Styela clava: one gene and its partner. The protein of the gene in region 2 purifies or fractionates together with the protein of the main gene of each other region. This does not show direct contact. Links are inferred from orthologs where the notes say so. Each region holds a gene or a part of one and is shown on either strand. Other genes may lie near its edges.

Region 1 (11,521 bases), on a different chromosome or scaffold from region 2:
ATGAAATTAAGCACACAGACAGGAAACATAATCAATAACAGCTACTCTGTCGGTCAAACAGGGGAAATTCCTAATATACAATCTTTTATGAAAGTTTTCTTTTTATATTTTATGATCAAATAAAACTGACATGCCAAAATTTACAAATATTGACTTTTCACTTCTTTATTTATTCATAGCCCATGGTTGGTCGACTGTGCAGCCAAAAAAAAAGCTTACTAAAAAGGTACATTATTGCTTCACGCTTTCTGATGTCAGTATTTCTTATTGTTTTAAAATGGCTGGTGACAAGGATGCGTATACCGAAGTGTTACTAAAATCCTAAAGTGTGTGCGTAAATGACCCGAAAAGATGGGAATTGAGCGACAAAACCAAAAAATGCATTATTACAGTAGTAGAGTGAAAAGTAAACAGCATTAATTTTAGATGGTTTGATGGCTCGATGAACACCATTGCCGTATAGAGTTTGGCATAAGTCATACAACATTTTAAAAAAATACAAAAAAAGGGGTTTTGTCAATATTCCTATTTACAGAAAGCATATATACAGAACCTGGTGTACAACATGACTTCTATTGGTTTCCTTTTCCGTCTCACCAACGTCGGTCACGCTAACATTGTTTTTAACGACCTGCAAAGGTTGACCATGGAAAATTAAATGAGATTTCAAAAATAACACAATTCACAGACAAAGAGTACTTAGATAGGCATCGCTTTCCAATCCACGTTTTTCATGTAATTTCCATTAAATACTAGTAATCATACATGGGGCATTGATTAGGAAAATTTTTTTCCAATCTGAAGATAATAACAATGCTGACATAGTCAGACATTAATAATTGAATTTGGCAATTTACAGAATTGAAAGTATCCAAAACCTGACTGTTATTAAAACAATTTCAAATATTTTCAAATAAAAATATTAGAACAATGCTGTAAAATATACCTTATTAAATTGAAAAAACGACATTTTACCTTTTTGGTATGATTTGTTGTCGCAATAAATTTCATGTTTAATAGATTTGGGTTATTGCCAAAATATATTTCATATATAATACATTGCATGCCCATCACGGAAAAGTTATTTTTAATTCAGACAAAAGCTTACACTTTACTACCATTGTCCAACGTAAATAATCCCAACTGAAAGAAGAGGACAAAAATATGCCACTGCCATTTCAATTACAGAAAGGAATGATGAATTGTAAAACTAAATAGTTTTGTCAGTGTTAGTTTATTGATGGTGAAGCAATTTAAATGTAGGGTAGATGCACACATAATGTTTCAATATTGAGTAGTTATTATAATATAAATAAATGTATAATTAGATTATTAAAAAAATTCTGTGCCTGAGTTACTTGCCTGATAGCACCTAAAACACACATTATAAATTAACATGTCTCTATAATCAAATAATCAAAAGTGCCATTTCCATTTAATAACCTTATTAGAAAATTAGAGCCACTTACCATAGGCCCCTTTCCTCTTATTTGGTTGAGTATATTTTCATTTTCAGTGTCATTAGAAGGTGGTGGTTTTACTGTAAATGAAGATGTACAGATAAAATTGAAATATTACTAGTTTATGCCTTCCAGGCTGTCTATAAGTTGAGTAAGTTAAAGCAAAGCCATGTTTCTCATAATTCTATTACTCCAATTTCAATATAAAACAAAATTGCTAAAAGCCAATAAAATCGAAAATTTGCATTTCAAAAGATGATGTTTCCTGGAACAATGTACGGTTTTAATGTTTGCATAATAATATAGAACATAAAGAATTTCCTTTTTGATTATTTTCACACACCTCACACATGCTGAGAATCAGAACACCCACATAAAACTAAATATAGCCATTTAATAAAAAGTAGTGGCAAACATAACAGACCATACCTTATATAGTATCATAAGGCAAATAGAACATTCTAAATCAATTGTTCTTGATTTTTTGAATGTTGTTTCACTAATATTATTGTTTACCATATGTCTCAAAAATTTAGTTACCAGTAAATGAAACTTGAAATTAATTTTATTCAAAAGGTTGGTATAACAAAAAAAGTGCCATCGATATTTTTTTAAATTAGACATGTCATAGTGAAAATAGGATTATTAATGTCAAATTTAGCATGTATCATGGTTCTACTATAAAATAGATCTAGTTCATTTACGAATAAAATTAATCGTAAAAGCAGAATTATACATTACAAAAATATTTTAATATAGAAATCCCAATCAGTACCAGATTATTATTAAAATATTTTATTCACCTACCATTTATATCAACTATTATTAAGGACTACTAAGCAATCCCTATTCAAATGAGTCATAAGTAGAAGTGGCAACCAACACAAGTTCATGAAAAAATCAGTTATCTTACATTACTGATGGAAAAAGTGGTAGAATAACATTGTTCGATGAAATATTCTAACAATTTTAGTCAATGGTTTTCATTATATGTACATATGACCTGTAATTAAGAATTCTCACTACTTTTATTTTTTGTTGGACTACAAACAAAAATTTGATGAATCATCGATGTTTTTATCATATTTAAAGACAAAACAAAGTTGATATTTACCATGATCTCTCACTCTGTATGTCATAGCCCCACGATGGATAGGCCGTCTAATGTGTTGTTTTTTCAATTTCTCTCTGATATCGGATTCCTCAATGTGCTGTTCTAACCGCAATGTGGGAGGAACAGAAGCGTTTTCATCTTGATCTTTTTCTGCAGCCTTGGCATCATTATTTGATTCTGCCACACTTGTTCCAGTATTGTCTGATGAGTTATGCTCTACAAAATAATATAAATTGCAAAAGTGGACTTTTTATAATTTTTTGGTGCCGACAATATTAACAATTTTATTATTAATAATTGTTGACAGTGCATATTTTTGGGAGCCTACATTATTAAAATAAATTCAATACAACATGGCAAAATAAGATGTTAGTGCTCTTTCAGCATCCTAGACATTATAATAGTAGATCAACTGAAGTGTTAAATAAATGCTATGAAGAAAATTGGCGATTCGTGAGAATCTCAATGATATGGTCTACTATTTTATCAATGTTAAATGCTTCATTTGTGGTTGAAAATAAAGAAAATAATGCCTGATTGTTTACAGTATGATTTTATTACAGCTCTTGCTGCAAAACGGAACATGAAAATTGTTTTAGTTAATCATGGTGTGGAAATTGTGTCTAGTAGATGCCTGTCTCGCACTTTATTGAATAATATTTTTCAAATCAGAGAGAGTTGTTTACATGGTTCTTCAATAGAGTCAAATGACAGGTAGGCCCAATAGGTTGATAAACACAATAAATCAACGCACCCTGGCGTCTAGAGTTCCCAGATCTCATTTCTTTACCAATCACGCTGTTCAATAAATTTCTTGCTGATGGAGGAGCAATATGTCTCGGTGGGTGATGTTTCTTCTCTGGACTGCTGGAACTTTGTACTGGAATGCCAGTTTTCTAAATAAATAATAAAACTTAGAAAACTGAATCAATTAACACAAGAATTAAGGAATATTTCCAATAAGGTTTACAAAAAAAAAAAAAAAATTTAAAGGTCTAAAGTAGACAGACAAATATGGTTTATTAGATATCCATATTCATATCTTCAGCCGTAATTTATAAGAATTATACTACCAGTGATTATCCCTGGGTTTTGGTCCACTAAAAATAAGATTGAAATGACAAGATAAACAATAAAATGGATGTCAATCTCAAAAGATATATATTATGTTCAAATAAATTTGCTCGCCTTTTCGAATCCTTTTAATACCGGAAAAGATTGATCAACTCAACACTAAATTGTTCAAATTAAATTTCTATTTATGGAAAAACTATTTATAAATAGAATCTTCTAATAAGTAGTATGTAATTCAGTTTATATTCAATATGAGCAAGAATTATATGAAAAAATCTCAAACACATAGATCATGGAGGTAAAGGGGTACACAGGTTTGTATCAGAGCCCCAAGTTGATTCTTACTAAGCACAATTTGGAGTGGTTCAAACAGAAAATAATTTTACCAAATTGCAAAATTACGATCTAGAACTATTTCCTCCTGGGATAAGAAAACCATATACTGGGAAGCATAATAGTTAAAAACAATGATATGTTTATCCCTTATTAAGTATATTTATATTCAAAATAATTACGGTACTTTATTTATAGTGAATGGATTATTTGTATCAAATTTTTCAAAAATCCAACCTATTTCATGAAGAAACAATTTTAGATACCAAATCAAATCACAATAAATTGTACGGCCATACGGACGTCATTAGCATGACAGAGACAGACAAGTGATAAGTCCATTCATAGTCAAGAACTAATCCTTCACTTCCAATGGTAATCCTCTTAGTAACACTAGATTTTCACCTACCCAATGTGAAGATTTTTTCCAATCTATAATGTAGTAGGCCTAATGGTTTCAGTGAGAGCTTTCTATGTGCAAACCTAGAAAATGGAAAATTAAAGTGCCATATTTGTGCAAAATACAAGCACATTTTCTCACCGGTCTAGCACTATGGTGAGGTTGACTGGTACGTCCTGCCTGTTTGCTTACAAATTGTTTCCTCATCATTTCCAATCTACTTCGTGGATGTCCATTTCCTGTGGTGTTTGATGTAAAATTGTTGTTTGCTGAGTCCGTAGTATCCATTATAGGAAGCAAGAGTAATTGGTAGAAATTTTTGAAATGTTAAAATTTATGTTACACCATCCTTCAAAAGTCTTTTAAGATTTATTAGGTCATTCTATCTACATACTTAATCACAGGCTGTAGATAGAAAATAAAAGTATAAAAAAAATTGAACTAATCCAGATTTTGATATTCTTTACTGAATATGAACTTTTGAACTCAGAATATAAGAGACATAAATGATATCAATATGACACCTCATATAGTATTCCAATTATGTTCAAGCAATAGTTGCCTTTTTCTGAATATGTTACTGTACGGCACAGTTCTCAAATTCCAAGAATATCCCCTACAGTAAAAGACATCAATTTTGACAGTGAGTGCGAAATCCTTCTTTAGGAGGCAGTCTGGGGTTTCATATTGGCACAAATCAGCAAACCGCAACATAAAATTGGATTCCTCTGATGAAATATTCTGATTTACAGAATGAAAATATTTTTACCAAAACTGAAAAGGCACGTCACAATTGATTTAAATTATCATCGAAACATGCATGGCGTGATCTGGTGCATCAGATGCACTCGCTTTCAAGACATATAGAGTATTTGTTTTCTTGAAATTGAAGAACTATTCCCTACTTTGCTTTGAATCATATATTTATTAACATATATTTAAAACTTTCCTAAATATTTCCAAAATCAATAATTTAATGTATCAAATATTACTTTAATGTATGAAATATTACAAAAAATTTCATTCGCGAGAGACAACTACGAATTCAAAAAGCACTACTCAACTGTACCAACTAAACTAGAAATTATAACTTAAAGTGAAATGAGTTCAAATAAATTAATTGGCTATTAATTGGCTACCTACATTATTAACATGCTCGCCTATCTAATTAACTTCCAAGAATCCAAGACACTCTACAAACTATAAGTGAGGTGTTTAAATGTTTTAATTAATGATTACTGCATAAATATACAGACAAGTGATACGGCAATACACAAAAGGGATAAAAGTGAATAATCTTGAAGACTATGTGAACAAAACCATGAAACAATATATCAGTAGAGCACAGTGCTCCTATTCCAAGATATCCCGACATTTGGTTCCATAAAACGAACACTGTATTTGTCTTTGAAACGATGGTGTTTGGTACGTCGCAAATTGCGTAGATGCTTCTCCTGATAATAATTTAAATCAATCGCGACGTGTGTCGGCCTTCATGTGACCAAATTTTGACAAAACCTATTGAATGCTGTGATAAAATTCTTTTTCTTCTGTAAATCAAATTATATTTTCCGAGGAATCCAAGAGTGTCATTTTTAAATGTTGCTTTCCTTGAGTTTATTGCGCAGTTGATTTGTAGCGATATGGTGTCCCAGACGTAAAGTAGTTTTCGCTATTATAATTGATGTCTCATATTGTGAGGGCTATTCTTGGAAATCGAAGAACTGTGCCATACTGTATATAGATATCATAAACCGTAGCAGTAGACTACCGTAGTATAGAAATATCACAAACTGACAAACAAAATAAACTAAGAGCTATATATCCAGATATCTGTATGTTAACTAACCCACAGCTACATTTAGACATGGGTCATACGTTCTTGATTTGTGATTGGTATGGTACGGTACTGTACCTGTAATGCTTGCTCAATTTAACAATAATCTCTCTAATCATAATACTGTTTTTTTAATTGGCTCACTCAATGAGTGATTTTAATGAATATGCAAAAAATAAATAAATGTACAAAATAAAATAAGTCCATACTCCATTTTGAGTTCATAATCCATTTGTTGAAAATGAGAAAATAAATAATAATTCTAATGATATAATACAATAAAAAAGAAAAAAAAAAAAACTTAGCAAATGTATTATAGTCTACAATGTATTGTACATCTAATTGCTTCACATAAATTCTGCAATTTAATATCAGGTGTTTTATTTTCAAATACTGAATCCAATAACTGAATAATACTGCATAATCCAAATTTTATATCGAACTATTGATAACAAAAGAATAATTGCAATAAAATCTACACTACTTATATAACTAATACTGTTATTGTCCTTTTCTCCAATCTCAATGTAAATTCGAGGGAAACCGTAAGGGACGCCCCCCCCCCCCTAAAAAAGCTGGCAGAGCGACAGGCAAACATCATCTGAGTGTGGCGAGAGCTGAATGGCCATGTTGTTGGGTTTTTTTCACCGAGCTTTGTTGTTTTCACAACAAAAATGTTGTTCTGTGCTGCTATCTGGCGGCGAAAAAAGTAAAATTTGTTTATTGTCAGTATGGATTGGAATGGATGAAAACAGTTCATACCTCAATGGTTGCGACGCGGGATTTTCAGGATATTTTACGAGTGGTTAGGGACAAACCTGTGCCGGTATCTCAGTATGTATGTATGGATGTTTATTCGTCTCGTAAAAGCAATATAAAAGAGTAAGTACTTATAAATACTGAAGACGGGATGTATGCACAAGACCATATTGGCCTAAAACACAGATGTGCGGCATACACCCCTTTGATTTATATAAATTATAATAGGGTAAATCAAATATGTACAATATGGTCCTTTATACAGGCAGTTGTGCGAGGAGGGTGGGTGGATGCGGTAACAGGGATATGGGTGGAGTGTACAAAACTGTTTGTACAAAGGAGTTTGTTAGACAAAACAACATCTATAAATAGTATCTGTCTGTCTTGGCCAGGGCGGGAGCAGGAATCAGGAAGGAGAGAAGTTTTACTTTGCAAACTATGGTACAATTTGATTTCACGAACTCTAACGTGTGATAAATACCGGTACAGAAATATAAAACAGTGGCATTGAAATCCTGTAAATTGTACCATTGGTCAAAAATCCTATACCTGTAGGCTATACGGAGATACCGTAAAATTTGATTTGATTGAGATCTGCCGAAATAGTTTACCGTACCGGTACTGGAGGATGCAGATATGCCTAGTTAAAAATCTTTTCATAAACTGCTGCATTGATCTGCTTACAGCTGTACAAAAAGCAGTTTCTACTTGAGGGCCTGGCCCCTGCAACGTCACACTGAAGAGAGAGATTTTTTAGTCATAATAATAAATCAAAAAAGAGCAGAAAACTATAAGCAAAATAATCCGAAGTACACTATACAGCTATATAGAGAATTTTACTAAACAGATACCAATATCAGATTAATAATTAATAGCATACCCATTAATTTAATAAAATTTTGAGGTCACCACAAGTATGAATTACTGACTCAATTTTATCCGAATATGAAATTGTGGCGTTGCTGTTTCTCTTGTTTTTCATTTACATCAAATGAAAAGTAAGTTTACTGTAACCCAACCAATATCATTATACATTAGTACCACAAACAGGTAATAACTACTCATGAGAACAATTTGCAATTAAAAACTATAATGTGATCAAAAGTGATCATCTCAAAAGCTGCAAATAGTATTTTTTAATAGCATACTGTGACGATGGATTGAGACAGCAGAATCATATAGCCAGCCACAGTTTCGCCTCTGTCTTTTTCATCTCTTGGAGTAGCAATCTATTTCATATATAATGGGGATGTAGGTAGCTGTAACTTATGTATGTGAATCACCTTATGAGTTATGCCACACACAATCATCTGCCAAAATCATCGAAAGTTTTATCCCCCATTATTTCGATTAAGTTTTATAATTGCATCTATTCTAATTATGTTTAGAATATTCTGATCAATTATCATTGTTAATTCTCCCCAATCTCTCATCTAAAATCAGCCATTCCCGGATGATTAACTCTCTTGATTATTGTAATTCAACAGCATCTTAATCATGGATCATGTGGATATTGAATTTCTTGCTGAAAGAGAACATGTATCAATCATTCCCAAGTTCAATTCTGACAAAATGTTTTTGATATCGGGTGAAGTTGGACCATTTAATGTCGGTGTTCCTACAGAAGTTCCAATTTGGTTGGCAATTAATTTGAAACAGAGAAATGAATGTCAGATTCAACGCCCTACTTGGATGGAACTTGCCACATTGGAAACAATGAAGGAAGATGAAAGCAATAGCGAACTCTTTACTCCTCTACCTAGTCCTTACTTCCAGGAAATTTCCCATATTTTACTAAATCAAGCAACTGATAATATACCCCACGCTGATGGTATAAGGACTATTATTAAAGACATTTTGGATATAAGAGTTGCTAAGTTAAGAAGCAGCATAGATAAATTTGTAAAACTGAAAGCTACTTATGCCAAGCTGGATAATTTGTCACAGATGGAAATAAATACAGTTAGGGCTTTTCTAACAACTGCACTAGATCATATGCGTAACCTTGACAAGACTGAGAAATTGACAGAACAGTATGCTTCTGTGAACTAATATAAGTTTCTCGACAGCCTTCTTGACATTTCTAGTCAACAGTGGATGGAGTTGGACAGAGAGTCTGGAATACGGAAAAATGGGCATTCACCCTCCTGGATAACATAAAAATTCATCTCATCTTTATGGGATGCATGTGCCTATGTCAGGGATCAATATATCGTTTTATGTTCTGCCAACGTTAACAATGACATACACATTTTCATGCAGAATTTTTGTATTGAACAGTATTACAAAAGATTGTCACAATGCACAATTTTTAAAACTGAAATAAAACACATGAAGCACCAACCAAATTCGCATACAGAGAGACTAGGGTCTTTAGATTCGAATTGATTAGTCTAATAATGGTTATGGTTTTGCATATAGTAATTCGATAAAAGGTGGAACTAGCCTTGTTGCATAAATGTGTTTTGGCCTCATGATTGAGGAGCAAGGAAACGACTAGTTTGGATAACTGAAAAAGAGGTTTTGGCTACTGCTAGACTTGTTATTATCAGCCTTATTTAACTTTTCAGCTCTTACAGTGATTACCAAAACATCATGATCGTGTACCAAGCTTTTCATGCGATACTAAAATGATAACAAAATTTACAGAAATCAGACAGCAGAAGATAAAAAATAAAATTCTCACACTCATGATAAACTATTGTGGCATGCAGTGCACGAGTAAAAGAAAATCTAAACTAAAACTTAAAACATATTTACTACATTTATGATAAATAATATGAAACTTGCTGCAGAGGCTTCATGAATAAAAAATAAACCAATTATTTCTATATAAACTTCGTCGTCAAGAAATAGAACACCAAGACTGTCGACCACAGACTCCATCAGAAGGGAGAGTTGTTTCGGACTCTTCGAGTGTGACAACTGCAGGTGAATCGCTCTCGCTTAAATTCACATCGGAGATTTCATTAACAAGTAGCAATGGAGTTTCCCCAACATTAACGACTGCAGGATTCTCTTGGTCAGAAGTAGTTCTTGTAGGGCTTAAAGGTATTTCTGCCACACTACTTTCCAATTTAATTTCTGAAAATCCATTACAAACGTTTCTTCCAGCATCTCCCGCTTCCAATTTTGATGCTTGTTCTAACATTCCGACACTTGCAGCGAGCGGCAACTCATCGTTTGAATTGTATCTCTTGCTCTTTTCCAATAAGTTCGGACATGTCTATTGTATTTTGGAAAAATGCTGTGAAACATGTAATGCTATTCATCACAGATTAGTTTGAATGGTTGAACTGAAATTAGCAAGATGTGGCTGCTAAATTTTGTGCAATGCAAATGTAACATATTAACCCAATATTTCTGCAACTAAGTGGCTGTTAAGTGAATATTACTATATTGCTGATACTGAAAAACTATAATACAAACTTGATCTCACCTGCTTCATAAAACTTAGGAGATTGATATATGATTGATTCAGATCACCATTTTCCAAGACAAAGTCATAAACACCAGGTTTTTCGCCTATGAATAAAATATGATATGCAAATTAGCACCCAATACTGCGGTGGTATTCAGTCCATTTCTCATAAGGATTTAATATACTAAGCATTTGCTTTAAGGTGTCCATTTCTATAAATATTTTATTTGTCTTTTGTGACCTTTATATTAAATAAACAGCAATTTAACGCCACCCTCCTTCCACAGGCTGGCTGCAATAAAATAATATTTGTCTAACATGGTAACCTGTTATGGTAAAGGTAGTTTCATGCATTTAATTGTATTAATTCATGAATATTGTGTGAATGTGTGTACACTACCTAAGTCTACTTATTAAGGTAACCCCAAAATAAGAATCAATTTTAAAAAAATACAGTGTCATGAAACGTTCATGGTATCTGTAAGTCAAAGTTGCGCAAGAGCAACGTTGCAGTTTGAATGCATATCCATTGAGTATAAAGTCAATAAATATTAAACGTTCAAAACAATAAAACAGCTCCAGACAATGTATGACTTTAAAAATAAATAAAACGATGGGAATTTACTCACTGAATGAAATTGATGATTCGGCAGTGCTCATTCTTCTTTCTAGACTTTCTTGCGTTTCAGTACCTCTTGATGTCAATCTTCTTCGAAGTTCCTTGAATAGTTTTATATATTTTATTAAATATTGGTATCAACAAGAACATGAGTGAGCTCATGGACATGGTGTTTGCCAAACGAACATTTTACTACTTACTAATTCTGACATATTCAAACTACGGTAATATTTTCACATTGGGAATCTCTAATATTTTCTAAATTAATCCTGTTCAACAGAAAAATTTACAGAAATTATTGTCATTTCTAGTGCAAAATAACAGTTTTTATTTTTTAGTATCCATAACATTTGCTTTTTTCGATAACCAGATCTCAAATACTATATTTAATTTATTTGGACCATTCTGATTTAAGTTAGAGAAATTTTCTTGCCACATCAACTTGGCCAGGCCAGACATGCTAACAATTAAGACACTGATTACATCAATATTTCAGGTAGTATT
Region 2 (10,820 bases):
ATTGCAACATGATTATAAATTCATAACTACTGAATTTTTTATTGATCCGAATGCCCCCTTAAAAATGTCTTAAAATTTTGTCGTCTATATCAGAGGTGTGAAAGCTGTCTGCCAAACATGCTTACATCTGTGTGAGCCAGTGGTTTTCAACCTTTTAGACTTAGCAAAACCCCTGTGCAATAGTTCAATTAATTCTTTCATTATCCGTATGGTAATATACTCTATGTATATAAAAGCAAACCTAATACTGGCAAAATGAAATTGACCTTAAAGGGCAACCAGTTTAACAATGTTTTCAAATACTAAAGGTATTTGATTATAATTATACATCATTTAATACAAACTCCTGGATTTAAATAGTAACTCGCGTAACCTCTCGATACCCCGGGTAAACTACACTAGCTTATGGTGACAGACTTTTACATCCATTGGGGATCAATTCATTTTAATCGAGGTGATACAATAATTCACAGGTTTGTTTTCTTGCATTCAATATCAAATACTTTGCTTTTATCAATCAAACTCTGTAGATAAGCACAGTAAATTTTGTGTTTTACATCCTGGAACTATATGAATTACTTTTACAGCTTCCTGGTTATATATTTTATGGATTTCCATGTGACTGATTAGGTATTGGTGATAGATTGTACAATAATTTTAATTGTCAAATATGTTGTTGTGGGTCTGTTCTGATTTCATTTCTAATCTTGATGCACAAAATAATATTGAGAATTGAAAAAAGGGTATATACTATATTATTCAGATATATTGGTAAAATAAAATATATTATTACCCATTTAGTGTCTTGCTGGTTAACATAGGTGAGTTAATTTTGTCACCTGAAACATGACATGATTTTTTTCTGTTTAAATGGGTCTAAGTTATATTGTCTCAGTTTAGTCAGTCTGGAAATATTGATAACATCAAAGCAATCGGACCCCTGGATATTTTGTTAGAATTTTTAAATGCTTAACGTCTTTCAAATATTCTAACATTTGCTTGTTTTGTCAACTATCCAGTAGTCGTAACTGATCAAAGCATTCAGAAATACGATGTTGTTTGGTGAAATCCGATATTGACACCGTCCCATAATTTATCTGTCTTCATGCTGGCAATGTAGGACAAATCTTTATTCAATAGTCTTATCATGCACAAATTCATTCAAAATATTGTATCAGTCATGTCGTGCGTTGTTTTAATTAGAGTTGTGCTCCCCTTTGTTTCAAGTTCTGTTTCCCTGTTTCGTATATCAGTACAACACAAGCATAATGAAATTATAAACCTGTACAGCAAATAGTACCAAATCCATGAGAACTATCAGCTGTGAACTATATAGAATTCTGCATATAATAATAGAAACGTGTCTCAAATTGTATTTAAGACTATGTTATATGCCCTTGTGCTTATTTAGTTTTACTTTGATATTTAGTATGATGTTTCAACTCTTATTCTATTTGTAGTTAATATGCTTATAGTGAATTAATTGCTATCTATATACTGTTTCACTTAATATTTTGCAGTATGTCATGACATTATTCAGATTTTAGTAGGTTTTGCCTTTTTAAGATCAGAAGTGGGGCTTGGATTTTTTTGCCTGAACTGCAAATGTTAGCATTATGTGCTTATGGAATGATATTGACTGACATCTGTATCTAATTGATTTTATTGCTATATTCATTCGTGCGGTTTTTGTGTACTTTTCATGCTGCATTACTTTAATAAAATGGCGGAACATATATACTGAGGTAATTATTTGTGGGACATTTTTATTAATTCACGATTAATCTTTCAAATGCCAACTGTTACGTAACACTGGCCTTACGAATTATTAGACAAACGTCTTTGGTGAACAAATATCTTGGCTGGCACCAATCGCAAGTATAGGCTGAGTATCAGCGCATTCCCATTGGGCCCAAATCCCAGTTATAGAACTAGCAAACAAGTTTCTGACAAGTCGAGAATTTGTAATTTGCTACAATGCACTTCATCTAATGGCATACAGATGGACAAGACCAGTGGACTTGCCTGTAGTACGCCTTGATGAAAGTGGTTGCCTGACACTGACTGCTATTAAGTAATCTAGCATTATGCAACATGTTATAGAATCTTGGGTAAAAACCTACAACAGCGTGGAGGACATTGCAAAAAACTAATTTTTTTTCTTGCCTGCTCATTTGCTGAACTAATCTCATAATGGAACCAATCAAGCACTGCGTATAAGTTTCACAATAACAAAACTATCTGTACAGATTTACATTTGGAACATTTACGAAAGAGCTATGGATAACAAATTCAACAGCAGAAAGCAAACATGATGGCATATAAAGTAAAAAGAAATGGTAAATTGTCTCTTGTTTCTGAGGTTCAATATGTTCATTGATGTACACATTCTGGAAATTGAATGTATTCTCCTGGATTTTAAATGAGGAATACAGTGTCATCCGTATACATCACTTGATTGCTGTCTTGCATTTGTGAAAGACAGGTGTCAACATCGTCCTTGGAAAACTCCTGACTATCCTTGTTGACCCATTCAACAATGGCAGCTGTGGGCAGGCTTTGTGTGTGTTCAACTTCAAATTTGGCAAAAAGTGACTTCTTGAATTTATTCATCTTCTGTTCATCAATAGCAGTTGTGGAACGCTCACTGTCTTCCATTGAAACATCAACAGTTGACTGTTGTTGCGAAGGACGACCCACAGCACTGACATCAGGTGTGTCTTCTTCGGCCGAATCAAAATTATATGGGTCATTTGGATCTCCAGTGGTTTCATTCCCATCCCCACGCTTTCTCCTCTTGCGGACTGAGGTATTTTGACTTTCAATGACTTCATCTTCACTGTCGCTATCGTGAGTCTTTCTTCGCCTCTTCTTTTCTTTTTCCATCACTTTATGAAAATAAGCATATTGCACAAGCTCAATAGCAGAATGAGCATCTTTCAAAGTTACTTTCTTGGACAAACGTGCTTTGGCATGCGCAGTTGAAAGACGAATTAAAGTTTCAAGAGTACGAGCAGTGACTGGTGTGGTTCTGGCTACATCACTATTCTCTTGATCTTGACATCTGAGTTTGGTGTATTCTTCTGCAATACATTCCGCAGCCTCTCTTGTCAAAGTAGGCTTTATAATTTTTGCCACATGAACATATCTCTTCATAAAGGCAATACTCACCATTTTAGATTTTTTGCCAGATCCACGATGCAGCAATTTATTATGTTTTTCATATACTGGCGTTTCTTGATCTTTGTTCTGTTCGCAGTCTGGATCATCTGTGGACAAAATATCTGCACCAATCGATATTGGCATTGGGTCGCCATCTTGTTCATTTGTTGCACGATATTGATGCATTCTAAGCACATGATCTGATATTCTTTGATCATTTTCTGGGTCCATTTGATCAAGAACGATAAAAAGCAAGTCAAATCTAGACAATAAAGAATCCTGCATTCCAATGTTATCCATAGGAGTCTTATACTGGTCATATCTACCATAAACAGGATTCGCTGCAGCTAACACGCTACATCGAGCATTTAACTTTGCATGAATGCCAGCTTTTGCCACAGTGACTCTTCCTTGTTCCATTACTTCATGAATTGCGGTACGATCTATGTCACTCATTTTATCGAATTCATCAATACATACAACTCCACGATCAGCTAATACCATAGCACCAGCTTCAAGTCTGCGTTCTCCAGTTTCTTCATCTGAAGTCACTGCAGCAGTTAATCCAACACCAGTTGTTCCTCGACCAGTAGTTGTTATAGCTCGTGGTGCTGTATGCAAAATATATCTCAACATTTGTGATTTGGCTGTGCTTGGATCACCTATCAGCAAAACATTTATATCACCACGAAGTCTTGTTCCATTTGGCAAAATCTTTTCTGTACCGCCAAGTAACATACAGAGCACAGCTTTTTTGATATATTCATTGCCATGAATAGAGGGAGCTAAAGAATGGGCAAGAATTTCAAATGGGTCAGCACCTTTTTGGTTTGCAAATTTCCTTATTTTAACAACGTCATCGGTTGAGAACATTGGTATAACCTCTTTGCTAAGAGGTTTTACATGATTTGCAATCAAGATAGTTCTGAAAACACCAGAAGTATGGCCTTGTTTTTTACCAGGTAGACATCTAAATATTCCAAGGACTTGGACACGATCACCAGGCTTACAGAGATCAACTAAATCATTGTCAACAACAATATCCACCGATCGAGGAAGTTGTCCCGCTGGAGCTTTTTCAGGCATCTCTTGCACAGTCAAGGTCTGGTGATCTTTGTAAACTGATAATCCAAACTCGGTTTCTAATGGATTATTTTCTTCGTCTTTAGTTGGGTACACAGAACTTGATACAAAAGGTGTTGTAGAGGTCATATCAGTGTATCTTCTTTCTAAAGTCTTCTTAGTAGCGGGGCAATAATGAACACTACGAACAACTTTTGGTCTAACAAGTGAGCACTTCGTAACAATGCCTTCAAGGCATATCATGCTACCAAGATACAATGCTGTTAGGGTACGAGGAGTTACATGCTTTGACCCAAAACTTCCCTCAAATCCAACAAAAAACTCCTCGTGTTGCTTTGCATATTCAGTGTTGATGGAAGCAACATAATTTTTCAGAGCACGTTGAAAAGCACCATGCTCATCAAAACCATTATCCAAAAGCTTTTTAGCTCGCACATTATTTCGTCGCCGGAGATCGTTTATGTTAACAACAATTCGGGATCTTCCCTTCTCAATCATTTCTCTAACCAACGCAGAATACACACCTTGGTCTGTGACTTCATCATCAAGAAAATCCAAATATTGGCGTTCAGCTTCCCGTAATTCCTCATCAATGTCCACATCCATCATATTGACTATATTTAATCCAAAAAATACCCCCGCAGAAACAAAACGGCAAAAACGAACGAAGAGTTTGCAAGACTTCCAGGATCAGATCACGTGTCCATGTTTCGCGGGGTTTCAGAATAAGGAAACAAAGTGGACTTCTAATCGCTGATGCGTGTTATTGCAGCAAACCAGCGACAGCGGTGGGTCCTTGACTCCCTTGTTTCGATATGTTAGTCGTTGGTTTCTAAATTGCGTTCGTTTTGATGTAAAATTAAAATATTATATTAATGATTGATTACTATATATGAATTGTATACTGATTAAGACGGTGTTTCTCAATTTTTCCACTTGCAGCCTGATGCTCAGGCTGCCTACCGAATCACTTCAGTCGCATTAGTATTTATTTACGCTTTAGATGTCATAAAAAATATTACCGGTAGGTTAGATTTGATGAATCATCTGATCGTACATCGTCTATATCTGGTCTCTGCCTTCATTATCTTTGAACCCACGTACATTTGCACCCAGGACAATTACACGTACCTGCATACTTTTGCACCCACAGATTTTCGAACTCATGAACAATTGCACCCATACATTTGCACCCGCATACAGATTGCACTCTTGAACATTTGCATCCATGGACATTTGCACTCTCGGACATTTCAACCAGTGTACATCTGCACCCACAGACATTTGCACACATGGACATTTGCACTCACGGACATTTGCATCCGGTAGATTTGCACCCGCGGGCATTTGCACCTGCGCACATTTGAACCCGCAATACATTTGCACCCACGCACAACTGCACTCGCGTACATTTGCACCCACGGATATTCGCTTCATCCTACTTAATTTTGCACTAGTAAACATATACACCCTTTGGATACCACACTTTTAAGACAAAGAGGTTATATTGCCATTTGCGCCGAAATAGCGAATGAATAGTGATGAAGACGAATTCACCACCACAAACCCGAACGCAATTTGGATTTTCATCCATTAACACAGATCGGGGAAAACAACCCGCATCGGTGTGGACACCATTATGACGCGGCGCGGCGGTGTGGCTCAACGGGCTAAGCGTTAGGAATATGCTAGCCACCGCACCTCTAATTACTCTGCGTGGGTTCGCAGGTTCGAATCCCATGCAGGGATGGTTATGTGCGAGAGGATTGCTGGACTCCTCGCCGTCGTTGGGTGGTTCACGTAACCGCTGGTCGGTTACGGCTTCCTCTACCACCAAGTCCATGCTACCGAAAACAAACAATATAACTAATCCCATAACCGACTTGGAATGGTAACCGAACGGGAGGCCGTGGTTCGCCATATGAATAAGCCGTCTTATCGGCTTTCCTCTCCCCCGTGATAAATATGTATATATTATCCTTATCCTTATGACGCAACAATTCAAAGAGTAGAAAGTGCTTTAAACCAGTGTTCTTCAACCTTTTTTATTTTTTTTAATGTGGTATACCTTACAAATACCAATTTTCATTTAAGGCCTAAATAAACATAAAATTTCAAGCACATATTTTACTGCAATCTCATCATGCAATGGACCTTTCCCCGAGCATCGACTTCCTTGTTTACTTCGTGACATTGGCCAATCAGCAAGATGCAAAAAGTGACGTAACAATGCCCCCTTTTCGCATCCGCTCAGACACTTTTCTCACTCAGACAGATTTTCAAGCGTGGTCTTAAACATTATCTCGTTTTTGTGTTTTTGAACTCTATTCGTTAGTTTTCAGTTGTGTTTCGGAAACTTAAATAAAAATCAGTTAATTTAATGATCACTCTTGATCAAGTTATAAATTTGACTGACGGCCTCAGCGTCAACGGGAATAATGTTCAACATAAATCAAACGAAGTGCATGGCAGCCGAAATCACCAACCCAGACACGTGACCGCATTATCTATATAATTCGTGATGTAACAATGTGCTCAGGTCGGTTCTTCGCCCTGATCTAGGCTGCACACCCTTCGTTTACCCTTTATCAGTTGTATACCCAACTTATAGCCCGGTATACACTTTGGTATACCGTATAACCGGTTGAAGGGCACTGCTGTAAACAACTTGTTGCAAAATCCTGCTTTTGTCGAGTCGAAGTCGTTTCTCTGGTGATATGTTGCGATTTTGTTTTTCTGTTAATATTGATTGATTAAATTTGTATAATTTTTTTGTCATTCCCTCTTCAGCCCACAGGTGTCGCTGACTCGATGACTGTCACAGTCTTTCGCGATTCCTTATCTATTGCTATGAATCTCTCACTTGTATGAATTCTTATGTGTATAATTACATTTTTTACTTTTGTCATTATACACGTTTGTCGATTTTACGTGAACATTGTATGTGTACCAGGCTAGGATTCAGGATGTGCGTCATCTTGGTACGAATACTTGAAATCCGCTTAGAAAAAATTGCTCAACATTATATACTCCACACCCACCTGGGTATCATTATTTATGTCATCGACATTATTTCTAAACAATAAAAAAAAAACTTCATGTCTCAAAACAATGTTAGGGCCCGATTCTTCCGGACTGTGAATGCAGATGTGCATAAGTGCAAATATCCATGGGTGCAAATGTTCATGGGTGCAAATGTCTGTGGGAGCAAATGTACATGAGTGCAAATGTCTGTGGGTGCCAATATCCACGGGTGCAAATGTACGTGGGTGCAAATGTCCGCGACTTCAAATAAAACATTAAAACAACTCATTGTATAATCTGTTTACAAATTTTAATCAGTTCTTGCAATGTTCAGGGTGCAAATGTTCATGGGTGCAAATGTTCACGAGTGCAAATGTAGGCCTACATAGGTGCAAATATTTGTGGGTGCAAATTTCCATGGATGCAAATGTACGTGAGTGCAAATGTCCGCGGCTTCAAATGTCCAGGGTGCAAATGTCATGGGTGAAAATGTACATGAATGCAAATGTTTGTGGATGCAAATGTTTATGGGTGCAAATGTACATGGGTGCAAATTTCCGCGAGTGCAGATGTACAGGGGTCAAATGTCCGCTGGTGCGTAAATCTATGAATGAAAATGTATGGGTTCAAGTGTCGGTGGGTGCAAATGTCCTAGGGGTTTACGAGTGCATATGTACGTGGGTTCAAATGGGCTGTCATCCTGGTCTCTACCTTAGTATGCACAAAAGTAGGTATAAAAAACGACAACTTGGTTAACACTACCATACACGAGATATAGGGTGTGGTTTGCCTTATGACAATACACAATAACTTCATTGCGTCAGGCAAGACTCATAAAGAGCGTTCGAGCATGAATTATTAAACATAAATATTAACACGATTATCATGCAACACTGCTTAGCGCTTACTATCAAACGAGTTTACTCGCTACCAAACATAACCCCGAGTCGGAAATTTGAAGTTAGGTATATGTTTAGCAATATTATTTAGCAATTCAAATATGATTTCCAAATGCGAATTCTTGTCAATGTTCATGGCCAGCATGAAAATTCGGAATAAACAACAGGGTAATATTCTTTCGGCTGGATTCGGAAACTCCCCGTTCAGCAGTAGACTTTTTGACTGTTCATTGCAATCTCTAGTAACCAACCACCTCTAGTGAGCGATGTTACGGTAGTTGGATAACACCGTCAAAAACAGTAGGTTCCCGATTCTAAATTCCAATTAGAAATTTAACCTTGGTTTTTGCTGCTCGGTGACCAGTTTTGGTCCCCACGACTTCCCTTTCCCAGTAGAACTGTTTAATTAACTTAATTAACTTGACTTGGAAAAATAGCCTATTATACGATACATAACTTGGTCTTTTTCAGAACCTATATGTTGCGCTAATATATATGAAAGTATCAAAGTAACGCAATTTTGAAAAAAACAATGTTTGAACACTGCACCTAAAATTCATTTAACATAGTCAACAATTCAAAGATTTCATGCAAAACATTACATATTTAGAACGGAAACGCATCAAAATTCAACAATTCTGGCATTTGAAATAACAGTACCATTTCGATAGTGGAAGAGGACATCAACCGTTACATGTTGATGGTAACAAATTCTACAGTTCTGTCTTTTAACTGTGGTTGTTAGATCGAGAGACCCAAGAGTTTTTTTTTTTTTCAGCAAATAAACTTATATTGAAATAAACGATATTGGTAATACAGTTATAAAATTGATCACAATGTTTGCAATCGCAGTCTAATTATGTTATAAGAAAACTGAAAAAATCCCAAGGACAATCATTTAGCAAATAGAATATTGAAATAAACAGTTTTTAAATCAGCAATATAGTTATAAAAGATAATTTTTCACAATGTTTGTAATTGTAGTCTAATAATGTTATAAGAAAACAGGAAAATGTCACATTTTATGTATATACTATATAAGGACAATCAATCGGCAAAAATGGAAAGAAAAACAGTAACATGTAATTTAATAGCAAAAAATCACTTTATTGACTATTATATAAATAAATGCCATTTTCTTTTGTGTATCAGGATTTGATCATTTTTCATTGCTATATTTTTCTCGTTGTCACGAACATCACGAATAAATTTATAAAAAACATCAAAAAATGGTTTTCGTTTCTGGATCCGGCATCTATATATAAAAAAGCAGGCAGCCAATAATACACAATTGATAAATTGTATTTCAAGAATGTCATCAAATCCCATGAAACATTCTTTGTTGGAAGAGAGACCCAAGACTGGTTATTCATGCAAACGGCAACTCGACACTTGAAATAACCGAAGCAGCAGACATAACCAAAATGCGCTATTCCCCAGTCCAATGAACGGCGAAATAAGCGAGAGACATATTTTCCTTCGCACATTGCGTGGGTTATCGGAGTCTCATAATACAAATTCGAATGTTACTACAGTACTCAGGCCCTGCAAAATGGCATCAGCATAATAGTATATTATAAACGATATATATATAAACAACATAAACACGGGCATTGTGGTCCTTGAAACAAGTTGTCTTTAAAAAATTGAAGTCTGAAATTCCGGTGTTTCGCGAGCACTTTATGATATATATAAAACGTATTCCACAAATCCCAAAGAGTTAAAAATCACTGCATTCGTGAATGTCAATTTACCCTCATCAATATCATATAGAATACAACACATGACATTATGATTTGATAAAGGGTAGCCTTCTTTGTCAATATGACTCTCACTGACTAAAACAAGACCAGGAATGAATCTATTATTGATTCAGTTATTTAGTAAGGATGCTCTGAAGTTTATCAAGATCTATTGGTAAGTTGGCATCGGTGAACAGGGGCTGCCGCCTAATTGATATGTGAGGACTGGACTGGCGTGGAATCAGTTACTTGGAATGTCAATATTTTTTCATATTCGAATAAGGGAAATACCCGTAAGTTTACACTTTACCTAACCGGATAGTCACTGTCAATTGTTAGTTAGAGAATCGATTCAAAAAGATATGTGCAATGAAAGGATTGAAAAAATTCCGAAACACTTTTTACGTTTTTAGAGTTGGACCCACTATTTATAGTCCGGCAGATAAGGGGCCCTTTTTGGCCCAAGTTTTATTTCAGACATAAAGTTTTCTCATTTCAAATCATTTATACATGGGTGTGGAGTTTGCAGCCTTGAGCAATTTTTTTACGGCTCGATATTTGTATTAGTGTTTTTTGTCAAACCTGTGCATCATAATGACGCACAACCTGAACCATAACCTGTTACAATACTATGTTCAGGCTGTGCGCAATCTTGGTGCACAAACTATACAGTATACAGCGACCCATATACAGTATATGGAAATACTGTCGAAACATACGCGTAAAATAAAGAGTACTATTTCAAAATACCCGTTTTTGTTGGAATTAACAATACAAGCCTGCTAATGCAGTCGCCAGTGGTTCAAGTGGATATACACCCGGTGGAGAACAGTCAATTATTTGTTAGCGAGAATTTTAATGCAGCGGGATGATCACGACGACGCAGTGAAAGATAATGATATCACGAGAA

Evidence for each region.
Region 1: the proteins of DNA replication licensing factor MCM3-like (region 2) and DNA replication complex GINS protein PSF2-like purify together in Drosophila melanogaster (affinity purification with western blotting; 3 studies listed by BioGRID, with this or other methods). This does not show direct contact. The link is inferred for Styela clava from reciprocal best matches to the Drosophila melanogaster genes Mcm3 and Psf2.

What each region holds. Positions count from the first base shown.
Region 1 is NC_135252.1:9,321,734-9,333,254, reverse strand, and holds DNA replication complex GINS protein PSF2-like, read left to right. Parts: upstream 1-6,958; 5' UTR 6,959-6,963; coding exon 6,964-7,100; intron 7,101-7,140; exon of another isoform or gene 7,141-7,418; intron 7,419-7,828; exon of another isoform or gene 7,829-7,922; coding exon of another isoform or gene 7,923-7,975; intron 7,976-8,464; coding exon 8,465-9,029; 3' UTR 9,030-9,325; downstream 9,326-11,521. Other genes in the region: mitogen-activated protein kinase kinase kinase 1-like, read right to left, coding at 554-631, 1,470-1,540, 2,575-2,790, 3,329-3,470, 4,523-4,669; guanylate kinase-like, read right to left, coding at 9,823-10,203, 10,417-10,502, 11,028-11,118. UniProt on the Drosophila melanogaster protein: The GINS complex plays an essential role in the initiation of DNA replication.
Region 2 is NC_135257.1:13,038,019-13,048,838, forward strand, and holds DNA replication licensing factor MCM3-like, read right to left. Parts: upstream 4,981-10,820; 5' UTR 4,855-4,980; coding exon 2,419-4,854; 3' UTR 2,218-2,418; downstream 1-2,217. UniProt on the Drosophila melanogaster protein: Acts as a component of the Mcm2-7 complex (Mcm complex) (Mcm complex) which is the putative replicative helicase essential for 'once per cell cycle' DNA replication initiation and elongation in eukaryotic cells.